Lepisosteus oculatus: one gene and its partner. The main gene of each other region encodes a partner of the protein of the gene in region 2 in a complex. Links are inferred from orthologs where the notes say so. Each region holds a gene or a part of one and is shown on either strand. Other genes may lie near its edges.

The links.
Region 1: the proteins of dlc1 (region 2) and tns2a are in contact, whole or in part, in an NMR structure (PDB 2LOZ), measured with the Homo sapiens proteins. The link is inferred for Lepisosteus oculatus from reciprocal best matches to the Homo sapiens genes DLC1 and TNS2. Residues at the interface, in NP_001335010.1 of Homo sapiens: Glu811, Asp812, His813, Lys814, Pro815, Gly816, Thr817, Phe818, Pro819, Ala821, Leu822, Thr823, Asn824; in NP_736610.2 of Homo sapiens: Asp1268, Leu1269, Leu1270, Arg1271, Gln1272, Gly1273, Ala1274, Ala1275, Cys1276, Lys1317, Ser1319, Ala1320, Gln1321, Thr1324, Leu1387, Asp1388, Pro1389, Asp1390, Gln1391, Val1403, Leu1404, Leu1405, Gly1406.

What each region holds. Positions count from the first base shown.
Region 1 is NC_090696.1:17,524,539-17,532,188, forward strand, and holds the start of tns2a (tensin-2), read left to right. Parts: upstream 1-4,511; 5' UTR 4,512-4,596; coding exon 4,597-4,710; intron 4,711-7,650. UniProt on the Homo sapiens protein: Tyrosine-protein phosphatase which regulates cell motility, proliferation and muscle-response to insulin. Phosphatase activity is mediated by binding to phosphatidylinositol-3,4,5-triphosphate (PtdIns(3,4,5)P3) via the SH2 domain.
Region 2 is NC_090696.1:77,394,842-77,402,032, reverse strand, and holds the start of dlc1 (rho GTPase-activating protein 7), read right to left. Parts: upstream 3,078-7,191; 5' UTR 2,793-3,077; exon of another isoform or gene 1,999-2,792; intron 1-1,998. UniProt on the Homo sapiens protein: Functions as a GTPase-activating protein for the small GTPases RHOA, RHOB, RHOC and CDC42, terminating their downstream signaling.

The DNA of each region.
Region 1 (7,650 bases), about 60 Mb from region 2:
CATAGTCGGTCTTGTCCAGTTCGGTATCCCCTGGAAACGTGCGTTCCCCCCGTCCAAAATATGCACGTTATCTCGGACAGATGATTTTTTTTATTCTCCACATATAAAATAATATATGTAACACACTCAAGATACAGCCTTTGCGTGCTTTGTTTCGGGTTTCATTGTGTTGTGTAAAGAATAGTTAAACTTTCACGTGGTGGCAGTATTTTTTTTTACATTACTACTTTACATTACTTGTTAATCCCTAGCAAACGCATTAAATACTTCGAGAGACAGAAATACCCACAAATAGGCTCCTTTTATCCCTCATAAACTAAGGCACAAATATGCACGCAGGAGCTGCTTATACCATGAAGTGTCCTGGAAAGTTTTGGGGAGCGTGTGTTTCTGACACCGGAAATCAGATGTACGTCATCGCTCAGTGGTCTAGGTAATCATTTTGGCAGATCACCACACAGGGAAGTAATTCATCCAGCTGTTTCTCAAAGGAAGGCAGGATTTCTGCTTTAACCACATGGCTGAGCAGCCTGTTCCCTACTCCCACACTCTGTTGTGTAAAGAAGTGCTTCCTGTTCTCAGTTTTGCACTTCCAGGTTACTTCCATACTATTCCAACTCGTCTTAAGTAACCTGCCAGGAAAACAATTGAACCACAGATCTAAAATAGGGATCTCGAATCTTGGTGCACAGGACCTAGACTTCTGCATGTTTTTTTCTTGGCGCGCTTTAACATATCAATGAGCAGAGATTCATTCGTACTTTTTAAGTAAACACTGGATTCACCGACGTCTCCTATGGTCGAGCTGGCGCTGAAACCCGAGAGGGCCGTGTGACACCACAAGACTGCAGCTGCACAGGTAAATGTGTCATCCCAGTGCTCGGGGTTTCTGGTTCGAACCCTCGACCAGCCAGGGACTCCCTGGTTCTCCACACCGAGAACCCACTGTGACCGAGTCTGCAGCAGCAGTAGCTGTTGATCCTGTTAATCTCTGAATGAGCCACTTCAGATAACAGCATCTGCTCAGCAGCTGATTAGATATCGATTCCAATCCGTTCTGGTCTGAAGCATCATGCGAGGATAGGGCCGCCCCAGCCCAGAAAGCCTGCCTGCCTCCCTGCCCTCTCGGCTTTGATTCTGTCTCCTGTGTTGTTTTCTGGGTGTGCTGCCTGTACCCCTCAAGCCGAGCACTGGGAAAACTCGGAGCAATGGACTGGCATTCGAGAGGGTCTCTGGCTCATACCTGCGAGCTGCGCAGAGCCCTGTTAATGGCCTGCTGTCTGGGATCAGGAGCAGAGGAGGCTTGGACCAGGCACAAGAATTTGCCTTACAAGGGGCTGTCTTCACCGAGAAGCTGGGGGCGCACGCAGAGCTGCCCTCCTGCTCTGCTCTGCTCTGCTCTGCTCTGCGCACGTAGGGCTGTACGTACGGCACCAACACATTTCCTTTGTCAAGATGTGGCCAGGTTTGCTTGTTTGTGCACAGCAGTTTATGCAGCAGAAAGATGAGGCTGCAGTGCAGCGCAGCGTGACACTTCATGTGTGTCAGGTGGAGGAGGAGGTGGGGTCTCTGGGTGTTGTCCCAATCCGAGACCCTGCCAGACTGCGGAGTCCCGGCAAATTGCAGGGCTGGTGTCCTTCTCTGACTGATTTTGTTTCTGGGGAACCAGCAAACAGTTTCTTTCATCACTGCAGCATTTGACAAGGATTATATTATAATATTACCGTTTACATGATACCTTTGAGCTAGTTGCATGCTGTAGTTTTTTACCACTTATTTCTAGCTTGTTAAATGTGGTCAAATGCAGAGGTGTCTTCCTGCCGGTGGGGAGAAGACAGCACAAGTGTGTTTTCTGGCATCCAAAACTACTGTACTACACACTTTGACTCTTTTACCTGTTGCAGTGCAGAACAAGCCGGGGAAATACAAATGGAATAGAGCCTCACTGATGTTGACCATTTTTAACAATCTTACCTTCGACCCAGAACTGCTGTACACATGCTGTACCTTTCAGGCAGTTACAAATATCTTGTTTGGTGACATTTTTTTCCTGGCTGATTTTAAACTGGAAGATTTAGCACACTGTCAACCAGTACATCACCACAGAGTGTTTGTGGCCTCTTTTACAAGCCTTAATTCACTGATCCATGTCCATGGTACCACACAGTTCTTAAAATTAGGATGCATCAGATTTATAATTCTTACTCTGGATGTATGGGGAAAAGCATGTTTTAGCTGCGGTTAAGAAATGACCAGTCATATTTCTGGAAAGTAATGCTGAAGACCAGCGAGCCCTCAATGACCCCAGATTTTATTTCATGTTGTTTTTGTGAGTCATCCCTGTGAGGTCAGCGAACATTCATTAACTGTGAGGAGATGCAGTGTTCATGAGGAACATTTCTCATGAGTGGTGACCGGTAATCTTCAGGCTGTTGTCAGATTTTGCTCTCAGACCTCGATCACTGTCTTCCTCAAATGTTAAATTGTCTTACTGCTCTCTGCGTTCAAACTCAACTGCCTGTGGGTGTCATTCTTCGCACTATTGCTACATATTTAATTACATTTGAGGGTATTTAATCCTTTTAGCCGTAAGCTTCACTTCTCTCCTCTTCATTAATTCCTGCATGGACTCTGTGGTGCACAGATCTTAGAAATTTTGCATTTTTTATACTTTTTCCAGTGTTTTTTCAGAAGCACAATCCAATTGCCCTCTGTGATTTTAGCCATTTTGTTTAAAGGTAATGGTTAATATTGACAAATCTGTGTTTTGTAGTACAGAAAGTAGAATTCTAGCTTTATGAAGGTGTAGTGAGTACCAATTTACCAATAACCATAACTATTCCTTACACTTAGTTCTTTTCTGGACACTCCACTCAAAGAGCTTTACAGGTAATGGGGATCCCCTCCACTACCACCAGTGTTTTCCCCACCTGGATGATGCACCAGTATGCTCCCCGCAACACCAGCTCTCAGTGTTAAGGAGAACAGAGTGATGACGCCAGTTCATACATGGGGATCATTAGGAGGCCACGATTGGTAAAGGCCAGGGAGAAATTTAGCCAGGACACCTACTCTTTTTGAGTAGCACCCTGGGATTTTTAATGAGCACAGAGAGTCAGGACCTCGGTTTTATGTCTCGTCCCAAGGATGGCATCTTTTTTACAATACAATGTCCCCTATCATTATACAGGAGCATTAGAACCGTCACACAGACCACAGGGAGAGCGCTTCCTACTGGCCTACTGGAGCACCTGATATCGATCCTGACATTGATAACGTCTGACCAACCAGTTTGACCTCATGAGTAAATGTGATGGATTTAGCACAACACCTCAGATTGGCTCTCCGTGTAGAGTTGAGATGTTGTGATTGTGTTTGTGTAGCTGCAGATCAAAGTGAATTAAAGACGCTAAACGACAGGTTAGGTGCCTTCTCATAAGCTGTACTGCCAACAGTCAGAGTTGTTATAACAGTAGAAAAAAGTAGTGGAGGTTCTGAGTAAATTGTTGATGCTCTTTACAACATACATATATTATAATTCTGGATTGTCTCCAATGTCTAAGACTTTAGCCCAGCAGAGAACCTGGATACATAACTGGTTACAGTGCCAACAACATCAATTTAAGTAAGGTATAAGGTATATACTTAATTAGGTATAAGCAGATGATTTATAGAGGGCTCTTCACATTCAGATGGCATCGTGTTGCAATTATACTGTATATTGTGCTTAAACTGTAGCAAAGGGAATTATTAGTCTGCTTTCGAATCCTGGAGAGAAGCAATTCCTTGTTGTGTTTCCAGTGCTGGTGCCAAAGCTCATTGCTGGCTGGACCAAGCCCAACCTATATTGCATCCCTTTATATGAAGCTTGCAGACAAAATAGCCTTTTCGCCTTGTGCTGTGAAAGATGTTTCCGAACGTTGTGGTGGCACATTAAAAAAAGTCCACGTACAGACTTCATAGGGGATCTACAGGGCCTATAGAGCATCTTGCCTGTCTGCAGATTGACCAGGTGATGTGCTCTAGAGAGCAGCTGGTCAGCAGGTAAATAAAGAACAGCGCTTTTTTCATGTTCGAATTGTAGGTTCGAAGGTTGGTTAACATGAACGTCACCTGCATCTCTCCAATTTATTTTACCTGAAAAAAAAACGAAACATGAGGCTGCTTTAAAGGCCGAGTTGTGGTTGTTTCTGGCTGTTTTCGCCTGCAGAGAGCGTACGTCTCCTGGGAGGCGCGATTCTGAATTTTGGCCTCCATTTGGATGGAGGGGTCCCGGCCAGGAATGTACACAGACAGCGACAGGGAAACCAGGAATGGGGCTCAGGGGGGACGCGTTCCCTTTAAAATAAGAAAAATCCGGCCGGGGGGGGCGCAGTGGCTATCGGTTTCCTGCTCGTATTGTACCTCGTTGCAGCGTCTGCGCTTGGGCTGGGGGTTGTAAGTGAGCCAGGAAAAGCAGAGGAGGGGGGCGGGGGGCGGGGGGGAGGGCCTGGCGTCAGCCGACAAAAACAGCTGTGGGACTGTGGAGTGGAAAACAGTCGGGCATGAGAGAGGGAAGAGGGGAAGAGAGAGACTGACAGAGGGTCCCCGCTCTCTATGGGTTGTGCCTGGAGCTCTGAGTGCTGCGGAGAGGAGCTGTGCCCGGTGCCGGTCGAGTGGGTGCCCAGGAAAGAAGGCCCGGGCGCTGCGGACAAGATGAGGCTGACGAAGGTAGGCTCTAGAAAAATTCAGGGCAGGTCCGGGGCTGGCATTCCGAATCGGATTTGTGTTGCTGGTGCCTTGGGTCTAGGGCAAGTGTGCTGCTTTCTCAGCTCAATCCGGCTTTCCAACACCGGCGCTGGGCAGGCTGTGCAGTGTGTCTTGCTGTCGCAGGTGGCCCAGGATCATCATGATCTCCAGGGTCTGGATCTGGGCCCCGGGTTCCGCCGATGTGGTCCCAAAGAGCTCAGGGACGAATCACTGAATCAGTGTGACTAGGACCCGGGCTGTAGATCTTCGGATGTAGTCAATCTTTTCACCCAGCTTCTCGAACCTGGGCCCAGCCGCTGCTGTGTCATGGCTGGAGTGTTCTTCTGCCCTGGCTGGACCACGGGCCTTTCTGTCTAAGTGTGAAAACTCTGATTAGGTGCTTGCAAGGAATTGGATTGTCTGGAGTAGCCTTCAAACTGCAAAATTAGTGGGCAGTGACAGGATGACATTTAGAAAGCAGTCTCCGGGATCTTGAAATTACTAGGGTTTTTTAGGTTTGGGGAAATGGCTGGACTGACAGAAAAGCATGGAGACACGTTCATATGAGGGGGCAAACTGTACTTTGGGTGCTGTGCATTTAATAGCAGGAATGGAAGCCCAACACCCATTTAGAGGAGGATATGTCACTTTTTATAACGTTTTGTGTTCGGAAACCATGTGTCCAGAGAATCAGGCTATTCCGACAGTGCTGAGCAAGTCCAGAAATTCGCAGCCTGTTTCTGGACCACATGGGGTGAATGTAAATGCACAGTGAGCTTACCCTTTTATCAGTGTGTACTCGCTTGTGTACTGATACAACTCGAGCTCTTAACAAAATATAGGAGCTGATAAGAACCACTCTTTGAATTTCACAGGAGCGACAGTGGTACACATCCAGTATTCAACTTGGATCCTGAAGGTCTAGATAACTGCCTCAGTGTCTGACTTTCATTCCAGTGAATGAACAGAAGTCCTCCTAACTAACAGGAGGGGCCCCAGGAACAGGTGTGCTTGTGCCTGTTCCCTTTGATGCCTGGTCTTGTTCTTTGTCACATGCAGTATACAGTACATGATCTCTGTGTCAAAACCACCTTTGCAAGCCTAGGTGGGTGTTATTGTGCGTTACTGTAATGTTCCTAACATTAAGATTGCTCTGAGGAATGGGAAACTGTCAGGGAGGAGTACGATCCATAATTCTGTTGTGTTCATTGGTGGAGCTTGTGGACCGGCGGGATCTGGCAGAGAGGAACGCCAGAGCAGTGCACTGAGGGACTGGGATTGCTGTGTGTCACTCACACCCTCAGTTTGGCGGTGGACTGGGTGGGAGGGGTGTTGGAAGTTTTCATCTTCTGAAATCTGGGTCCAAGTTCTGGTTCTGGTTTGGAACGCTACCCTACTCACTCTGATGTGCGGGGTATAAAAAAATCTACAAGCCTTGTTTTTGACTGGAATTGTCACCAGTTTGGGCTTCCACCTGGTGCTGAAATCCAGGGAGAATTTAAAACAGCAGAGCATTTGAATTGTACAATTAGAAGTGAATCCTGTTCCGGTGGTGTTGTTTACTGTAACTTTTGTGTAATTTGTGACTCTCCAATGTGACAGTAGTGGTACCCTTGAGCAAGGTGCCTCACCTGAATGGTTCCTGTAAAACACCCAGCTGTGTGAGTTGGTGCCAGTGTAAGTCATTTTGGACCAAAGCATCAGACAAAAATAATATAGCTTTCTCAAAATCCAGCTCCCCTGTCCTTGTATCTGTAATACCTGATGAGGCCCAGGTTCCCATAGCAATAAAGACAAGAACGTTGGCAATGGCTGGTAGAGAGGTGGTGAGCTTTGCTGCCTCGCCCTGGGTTAAATTCTGGGCCTGGGGTGCTATCTGTGAGGAGTTTGTATGTTGTCCCCATGATTGCGTGGGTTTCCTCTAATAGTCCAAAGACATACTGGTAAATTAATCAGCTTCTGGGAAAAGTGGCCCTGCTGTGTGGTTGTCTACTCTGGGATGGAGTGGGGTCCCACCAGGGTGTACCCTGCCTTGTGCCTTTTGCCTGCCGGGCTCCCCAGCTGCCTCAAAACTCTCCTTTAGAACCTGTCAGCAAAATTGAAATTGTAATACCCTGAATTAACCTTGAAAGGCTGGTTGTAGTTAGGGCAAGGTGCTCAAGAATTGAAGTGAGTTCTTAAGCATTGTGATCCCATAGTTTTCTACCAAGAGGCTGAATCTTCGGGACTCATGTGGTGACGTTTTCTGCAGAAGACTAGTGAGATCCGGAAAAGGCGCCACTTCCTTGGAAATGGACGCCAACAGGCCTTTCCTAGCTTCCTCAGCCGGGATTCTCATAGTAAATGCTGCAACTGTCTGTGGCCGTCAGTAGTACTTCCGGATATAGCTTTCCCGAAGCATGCCATGCATTCTCTGGGAATTACAGAAAGCTCCATCGGTTTCCTCCGAAATATTCCATGGAGATCATTATACAAACGTCAGCATTAAAAAAAAGTACTTGGAAAATTTGCGCTCACACACACAAAAGAACATTTTGTAAAATCAACATCCTCTCCCTGTGTTTAAAGGAATATACTCTGTGGCCTCAGTCGATACTGTAGTTGGCCTGTCTCTTCATTCTCTGATTGTTGGTTCAGCTGGGAAATTGCCCAGAGTGGCTTTGAGATCTGTATAACCTGCAGACTGAAATGTTATCCAGCATTTTTGTTTAAATTTTTGGCAATGAAGTGACTTAGCATTTATGGTGAACAGGAGATCTTTTGGTTTTGAATCACTGCAGACTCGTAAAACAGTATTATTTTTTTTAGTTCTGATTTTAGACAAGGGGATTCAGACTCTAGTCCTGGGGTGCTGAGTGTTTTGTTACAAATTAAACAATTAAAAGTTCTTAACATTTTCTTATGCTGAGTTACAGTTGAACT
Region 2 (7,191 bases):
TCCATGATCCAGGGGGCTAATGCTGTTTTGCACCCTACTGTATGCCTCTGGGATTCTGGGAATCGTGGAATGTGGGAATCTGGGATTCTGGGAATGTGGGATTCTGGACTCCAGGTTGCCCTGACTCTTGGCCTTGTGAAATGGACTGATAGAAGACTAGAGCTGAACTAGAATTCGTTACGTCAATATTTACTGTCAATTGTGAGCTTTTTTCAAACTCCAAAGTCTTGAAAGTTGAACTCTAGAACTGTATTCTTTAATGGGCAGATATATGGGTATACTTTTGAAATAAGCCTACAGGATCATGGAAAGGAAGAAATAAGTGAAATACTGCATGTGCAAGGAGCACACACATCTCTCACTTCTGCCAAGGTGGAAATCCAATCAAAAAATACTTTCATAAAGCAAAAGTTGACTTAATTTATGCCTGTTGTAGTGGAGCATTAGGCAATTATGTCCTGCACAAAGGCTTGGCTTTTACCACATATTTAACATTTTTCTATAGTATAAACTAATTATGCAAATTTTTTATTAGTATTGAGAATTGTAACTAATAATACAAGATGAACTTAAATTTAAGACCACATTATATGTTTATAAATTGCACGAACCGTACAAAAATCTTACAGTAAGAATGAGAATACTACAGGAAAGGGTTTACAGGTAAAAAAACAAAATCTCATATATAATATATTTCATGCATCGTCTTGAATACTGTGCTTTATTATCAGAATGGCATGAAACATGCAACCAATGAGTACTGGACCCAATTAAAAAAGCTTCCATGATGTAAAGTCCTGAGTCATTAATGTCTCACTGTGTTTTATATATATATACAGTATACAGGAAAATAGACATCCTGTATCATATAAAAGTCTATAGTCTGTTCTACAGGCCATAAGAGATCACTGTCTCCTACTGATAACAAAATTCCTTACAAGATGAATAGTGTTCAGTTCCCTTACGATTCATGATCTCTTGCTTCTAGGTATTTAAATTAAACAGCAACACAATCAACATTTTAACGCAGAGTTTGAGAATAAACTCTTTTTGAAACGGCCAGTAGTTTGAAGTATTACCCAAAGATTTTTCAAACACCGCTTATTCCTAGTGGCGTTGGTGGCATCATAAAGCTGAAAGCATCATGCTATAGTGCAGGTACTGTAGGTACTGTATTTCGTACTGAGATATTTCAATACAACAATGCAAAATAAGACACTGAGGCTAAATTTAGCTGCACACATGCTATGCTGAAAAAGATTAGTAAACATGGATAAGACATGGTTTACTGTAGTTTCAAACATTTCAGTGTTCATCAGATGACATCAAATTCCAACAGAATCTAAGAAATGTGAAGATCAAATGTTTCCATAGTACGCAAAGGTTCAGACTCACAGTAAAGGGGTCTTCAATTAGCAAAGAACCATCAAGCATGTTGATTTATTCACCTTGAATATAATAAGTTTGAAGTCAGAAAGAAAAACTCATGTTTTAAAGAAGCTAATTTGATTAATGCGTCATGAACTATTAGGGACTTTTTAACAGTGTGAAAATCTTCAAAACATTGTTTAATAGCTGAAAAATATTTTTTAGAAGCAAAACGTTACAAAAGATACAGGCACATACAAAGCAGTTAAAAAATGTGCTGTCTGTGGATGATTTAAAATCATTCCACAAGTGTTGAATTACCTAGTAACTACAGTTTATGCTTTCTACTATGATTGATTAGTTGACAGTTGTTACAGAAATTGCTCTGTAAATAATATCAAAACATCTTATTCACAATGTGCCTTTAGCTAATCCATTGCCTGCAATTGCTGTCTAACTTCACAGTCAGTTAATGTCTTGAACGGAGGTAGTAACATTTGTTTTGTAACTCCACTAACATTTGCACCAAACAAGAATCATCCTTCTAACTGAAAACCAGTATCCACATTGTTCATTAAAGAGCCTGTTTGCTCTTTTTCAGAAAATAATAGATATGTAGAAGTCACTTACCTTACTCTCAAGAGAAAAGCATGGATTATTTTGTTACCTTAGAACAAACTTCAGCAATTACCATTAGTACTGTGAAAGTGAGGGTTTTAGAAGTCCACATATCCTTAATTGCCGTAGCAGAGTGATCTGTTTGAAGGCAGCTCTGTACTGCTGGTATCTGTGTAAAAACAAGCTCTGCTGCTGGAGGGAAACTCAGGCACACGGGATTCTGTCAATTTTCTGTGACTCCTGCCTACAGACTCGAAGAGTAATGGCTTGTAGAAAGGGGGCCAACTCTGCCTAGCCCCAGATTGCCTGGAAGTATTTCCTGCCTTTAAACAGCATGTTCATGTCTGAATGGCAAAGGGCATAATGACCAGAATTTAAAAGATCAACATGCACTCAGCAGTGTTTTACGCAGTGATCTACAGATATCTAACATATCTTAGATGTTTCAGTGCTGATTGGTCTGATGGACGGGAGAAAATAACTCTAGATAAAACTCCACCACACAGTAAATTACACCTTATTAAGACAACTGAGAAATATTTCAAAAATTGTGAATTTCAACAGAGTTCCCAGTGTTCTTCATGGATTCATTTTCATACTGCATTAAGAATGAAAGAGCAATTCGTCACCAAGTCAATGGGTTTTATTTTCTGTCATCTCCAGGTTTATTTACGGAGTGCTTGTTATCAGGCAATGTCTCTGTCAAAGATAAAAGAAAAACATAACTTCCCTTAAATTAAAATTGTAATATGTCTTCCCCATCCAGGTTAAACATTTCCAAAGTTTAAGGGTACCGCTGTCGTTACCTTTCCTGAAAAGTCTCCAGAGCCACACAAATCCCGCACTGTGAAAACTGAAGGACAGTCTCCATCTTGAGCACATTAAAGTTTTGCTGACACTGTGCACTTGTAGGAGCGCTGTTCCTCCTGGCTCGACAAGGAGTCTGAATCATGTCTTTGGGACAGCCCACATCTTTCACATCCTTGCTGTCTGCTCGGCTTCGCTTCAAGTATCATCTGTTTATCTTTTCTTCTTTCTTCTTCCCTTACAGCACAACTTCCTCCAAGTCGCTCCGAGTGTCTCTCGAGCTGGGAACTGGACTTACCATTTGGTTTTGATTAAAAGCAGACATGCAGCATTGTAAAACCCAGGATGGAAGCCAAAGGAGACTGCAATTCTTGGCAGCAATTTCCAAGCTTTTTAACAGTCGCTTGTAACTGTACAAGCATCCTCGCAAAACTGAAGAAGAAATACACTGAGACGCGTTTATAGACATTCCAGGGGAATGTGCCACCCCAGCAGAAACACAGTGTTTCAGACCGATTTAGACTGCGCGGTATTTAGAGAACTACAACGCTGAGTTTTTTTTCAATGAGCGTTTAAAAAAAGCTCATTGAAAAATAAAAAAAGCTTTCAGTTTTTCCATGTTTCAAAACTTTTGGATCACCTTCATATTTTTGTTGATTAGGATGGTTTTATTTAAAACATATGACTATGTGTCGATTCTATCTCTCAAGGAAGAAAATGCGTGTAACATGAAAGGAATATACAGTACATAAAAGTAACATAAAGTTTGGAGAGTTCCTTTTTTATTAAAAAAGTTAACCAATACAGCTTTTTGTTTAGCTAAAAATGGTTTCTAAGTTAAAATGAAAATAATAACTTATGGTTAGAAGATATTAGGTTTAATCACAATTATATGTGGTGCACTACATTTGACATTTTTTATGATTTGTAAGTCTTTTAAGATTACTGATCTGGTAGTTTATTACTTATAATCTCCTAATACGTCCCTTATAAGTGACACCTATGATGTTTGTATTAATAATTTGTTATTGATTAAAAGGTAATTACATACTGTACCAGTCCTTCACAGATACTATTGCAGATTTGCTCAGTGTTACTTTGTATACTTCTATAGTATACAAGAGAGCATTAGATTGTGTTTTAAATGTATGCTGTCATTTTGAATTCTGGGGATGAATATTAATTACTTATTGCCAATTCACAAGTTGTATAATTGACTGTAGGCTGGGGGTGTCAATCACTAGATGAGCTAGTGTCTTCTGGTTTCTGTTCTAACCTGAGTAGTCAAATCAACAATTAACCTCATTATTTTAAGGATGTTTTTCACAGTTATAGTTATAAAAAGATCCTGTATAGCAGGGATCTCAAACTCAGTGCTTGGAGAGTTTAATGTCTTACGGTCTTTGTTCCACACACACATTCTCAGCTACACAGATTGACTGAGAGCATGATAGTTAATACAACAACCCAGGCTAAAATATTGTATTGCTATGCTACTGGGTTATCAATGTTAAATACCTTAAGTAACAATCTATATGTGTCTTAGTAAAAAAATGATTAGGTTAATTGTTTAATTTGTAACCTAGGTTGGAGTGTTAGAAGACATCAGGCCCTTCTGATGTACTGTAGGTGTCCCACACCCCCACCCTCAACATTGTGGAAAGAGCTCAGTCTAACTCATGAGCACTTCATGCAGGGTTTATGCCAGCCTGTGAAAAAAGGGATGGATAAGTGTGTCTCACGCGCTTGTGAGATGGCAACATGTTTCTGTTGGTACCCTTTACAAGTTGTGATTGGGAAAAGGCCTGAAAGAGCACTTTGAGGTGATGAGCCCAGACGTCTGCAGTCTGCTTACAGCTATGTTACTTTTTAATGTTTACACTTACAAAAGATCCAGAAGATACTAAACTGAAAACAAACTACTGTACATTTCCCTGATGACATCACAAGCATGTGGTATTACACTGAATCCTAATCAATCAAAACACGGATGCATCAAAAATAACTAATTTGTCTTAAAACACATCAAGAAAGGCAAAAATGATGTGAATGTAATTAATCTTTGGGATGACCAAAGACGAGACACAATCATGTGCACTTCTTCTGCGTTTTCAGGTTGAGTCACCTGAGCCACAAGCTTAACTCAAAACTACGAGTTCTTCACTGTGAGTGGGCATGGTGCAAACCACGATGAAGAATAGATACTGTAATGGTCACCGTTCCACGTAAAAGCAGAGGCTCAGTTTTTCAGAAGTCTGACTGTGTACCAAAAGGGAAGATTTAAAGACATATATTACATAGTCTGTAGAATTGTTGGGCTGTCCTGCAACAGCTTACAATCCAACAGGAAACTAGAGACTCTTCTAGGATAATGCATCTGTCGTCATTATAACACTGTAACAATTCAATAAGATCTGGCTGTTGCCCTGCCTGAGGACTGGGATGGAATTTAAAAAAATATTACCTACTGGATAAGTGGAAGCATGTTGGAATCCTGCCCACAGAGTCTGTGCTCCAACTCAGTGAAATTAATATGGATATGAATATGAATTCATTTCATTTCCGAATTGTCTGTGAGCTTGAAAAAAATGCTCATTGCAATTTTTATTTCTTCGGGTCTCATGTTCAGAAGTGTGTCACTGATGATACACATATAATCTAATTTATGCATTATTTAATTTAATTATGCCATGAGAGATGCATTAAGATACATAAATCTGAATCATGAAGTTAGATGTGAATTGGGGTCATTGCAGTCTGAAATGCTGGACCTTTCATGTTTTAGTATCATATGTTGACAAAATCCTTGCATTGCACGTCTGCTGTGTTCCGGTGGATTTTTAACAAAGTTTACATTGTATTAACCTTTCTGTAATTCTGAATGAACTACAACCTTAACTAATACAATTCAACAGTAAATTAAAACCAGAAAGAGGAGGTTTTTTTTTTACCCAGTGGGTGTGGGAGTCAGGAACAATCTACCCTCCTCTCACTTGTAACTGTTCTTATATTCTTATATCTCATGAGCTTCCAAGGAAGGGTTCCTCCAAGAGATTTGCTGAAGACTAGAAGTGAACCAAACCATTCCAGAAAGATGTGTGCCATTGTGAAGAACCCTAGGAAGAATTTATTGGTGCCTCAAACATAAAGAGCACTGACAACAGAATCATTTCCCCATCACCAACAAAGTACGGGCAGGATAATATTTTATGATTTTACTGGATGCAATTCTAAAATCCCATACGGAGTCCTGTTTCTCGGCTGCTCTCCTCAGAAATTGCTCATGCAAATCCTCAGCAAGCCTGGCCATTCCTGGTCATGGCAGAGAATCTTTGAAGCCCAGCTATTCGAAGCCATATGAAAAAAAAAGCTTTCTTAGAAATTAATATGACCACAACAGTTTCTGGCAGTCATAGGGATTCAGCAAAACATAAACAATTAGGCTTTATACAACAGATCAATAAATCATGTTGTTTAAATATACATATTTCTACAGTAATACCAGTAAATACTGTCAGTATGTATTAAACTGACAAAGTTGCATCACACACTTTTGTGTTTTTTTTACAGGAATTTTGGCATCCCACACTCTGCAAAGGGTGTGAGAACTTTTGTATACTTTCAGAAAGTCGTCTCCCTGTCCAGAACATTTTTTTCAGTACTCCCTCCAGGCTGCATTCGGAGAGCAAAGATCAAAATCTTATGACTCAGGAACGTCATGCATAAGAAATGTTCCACATTCGTTTATCCCATTCTAATTTTTAAAAAAATATTCTCTTCATCTCTCAGCATATTACTTTTTGGTTTTGTAATCTGTGCACATACGCACAGTGCACAGTTGTGCAGTTCATCTGCTGGGCCACCACTGCATCATTGCCTCTCCAGTCCGTGTGAATATATTCACCCACACTTGCTCCTCTATACCTGCACACAGAAGGACTAAGCAAGAACAGAGATGGGGAGGCAGTCTGCTTGTTTCTATTGAATACTTTTTGGGTCTAGGGAGCTGGGTGCAGATTCTGTATAATGTTGATATTAAGCACAATATGTTTTAAGGCGGTGTAAAATATATTTCCGTCTGTACATACTGTATCCCTTTTTGTACCTTATTCTTTTTTTCTGAAAAGAGTTTATTTGAGAGTTTTATTAGTATGTTTTTGTATCTTTATAGACTTGGCTTTACTCACCTACAGTACAGGCCGGTTTTAATAATCCAGAACTAACAAAATACTTACAGTATGTTAAACTTCAGATTATTCAAAGAACAGTAGGAGACTGTTACAAAGCAAGCATATAATTCTTTGCATTTAGATGGTGCTTTTCACCTCAAATGATTCCAGAATGTTTTACAGACGTTTTCTATGGCACGGCTACATTCCAGGTATGAACATTACTGAA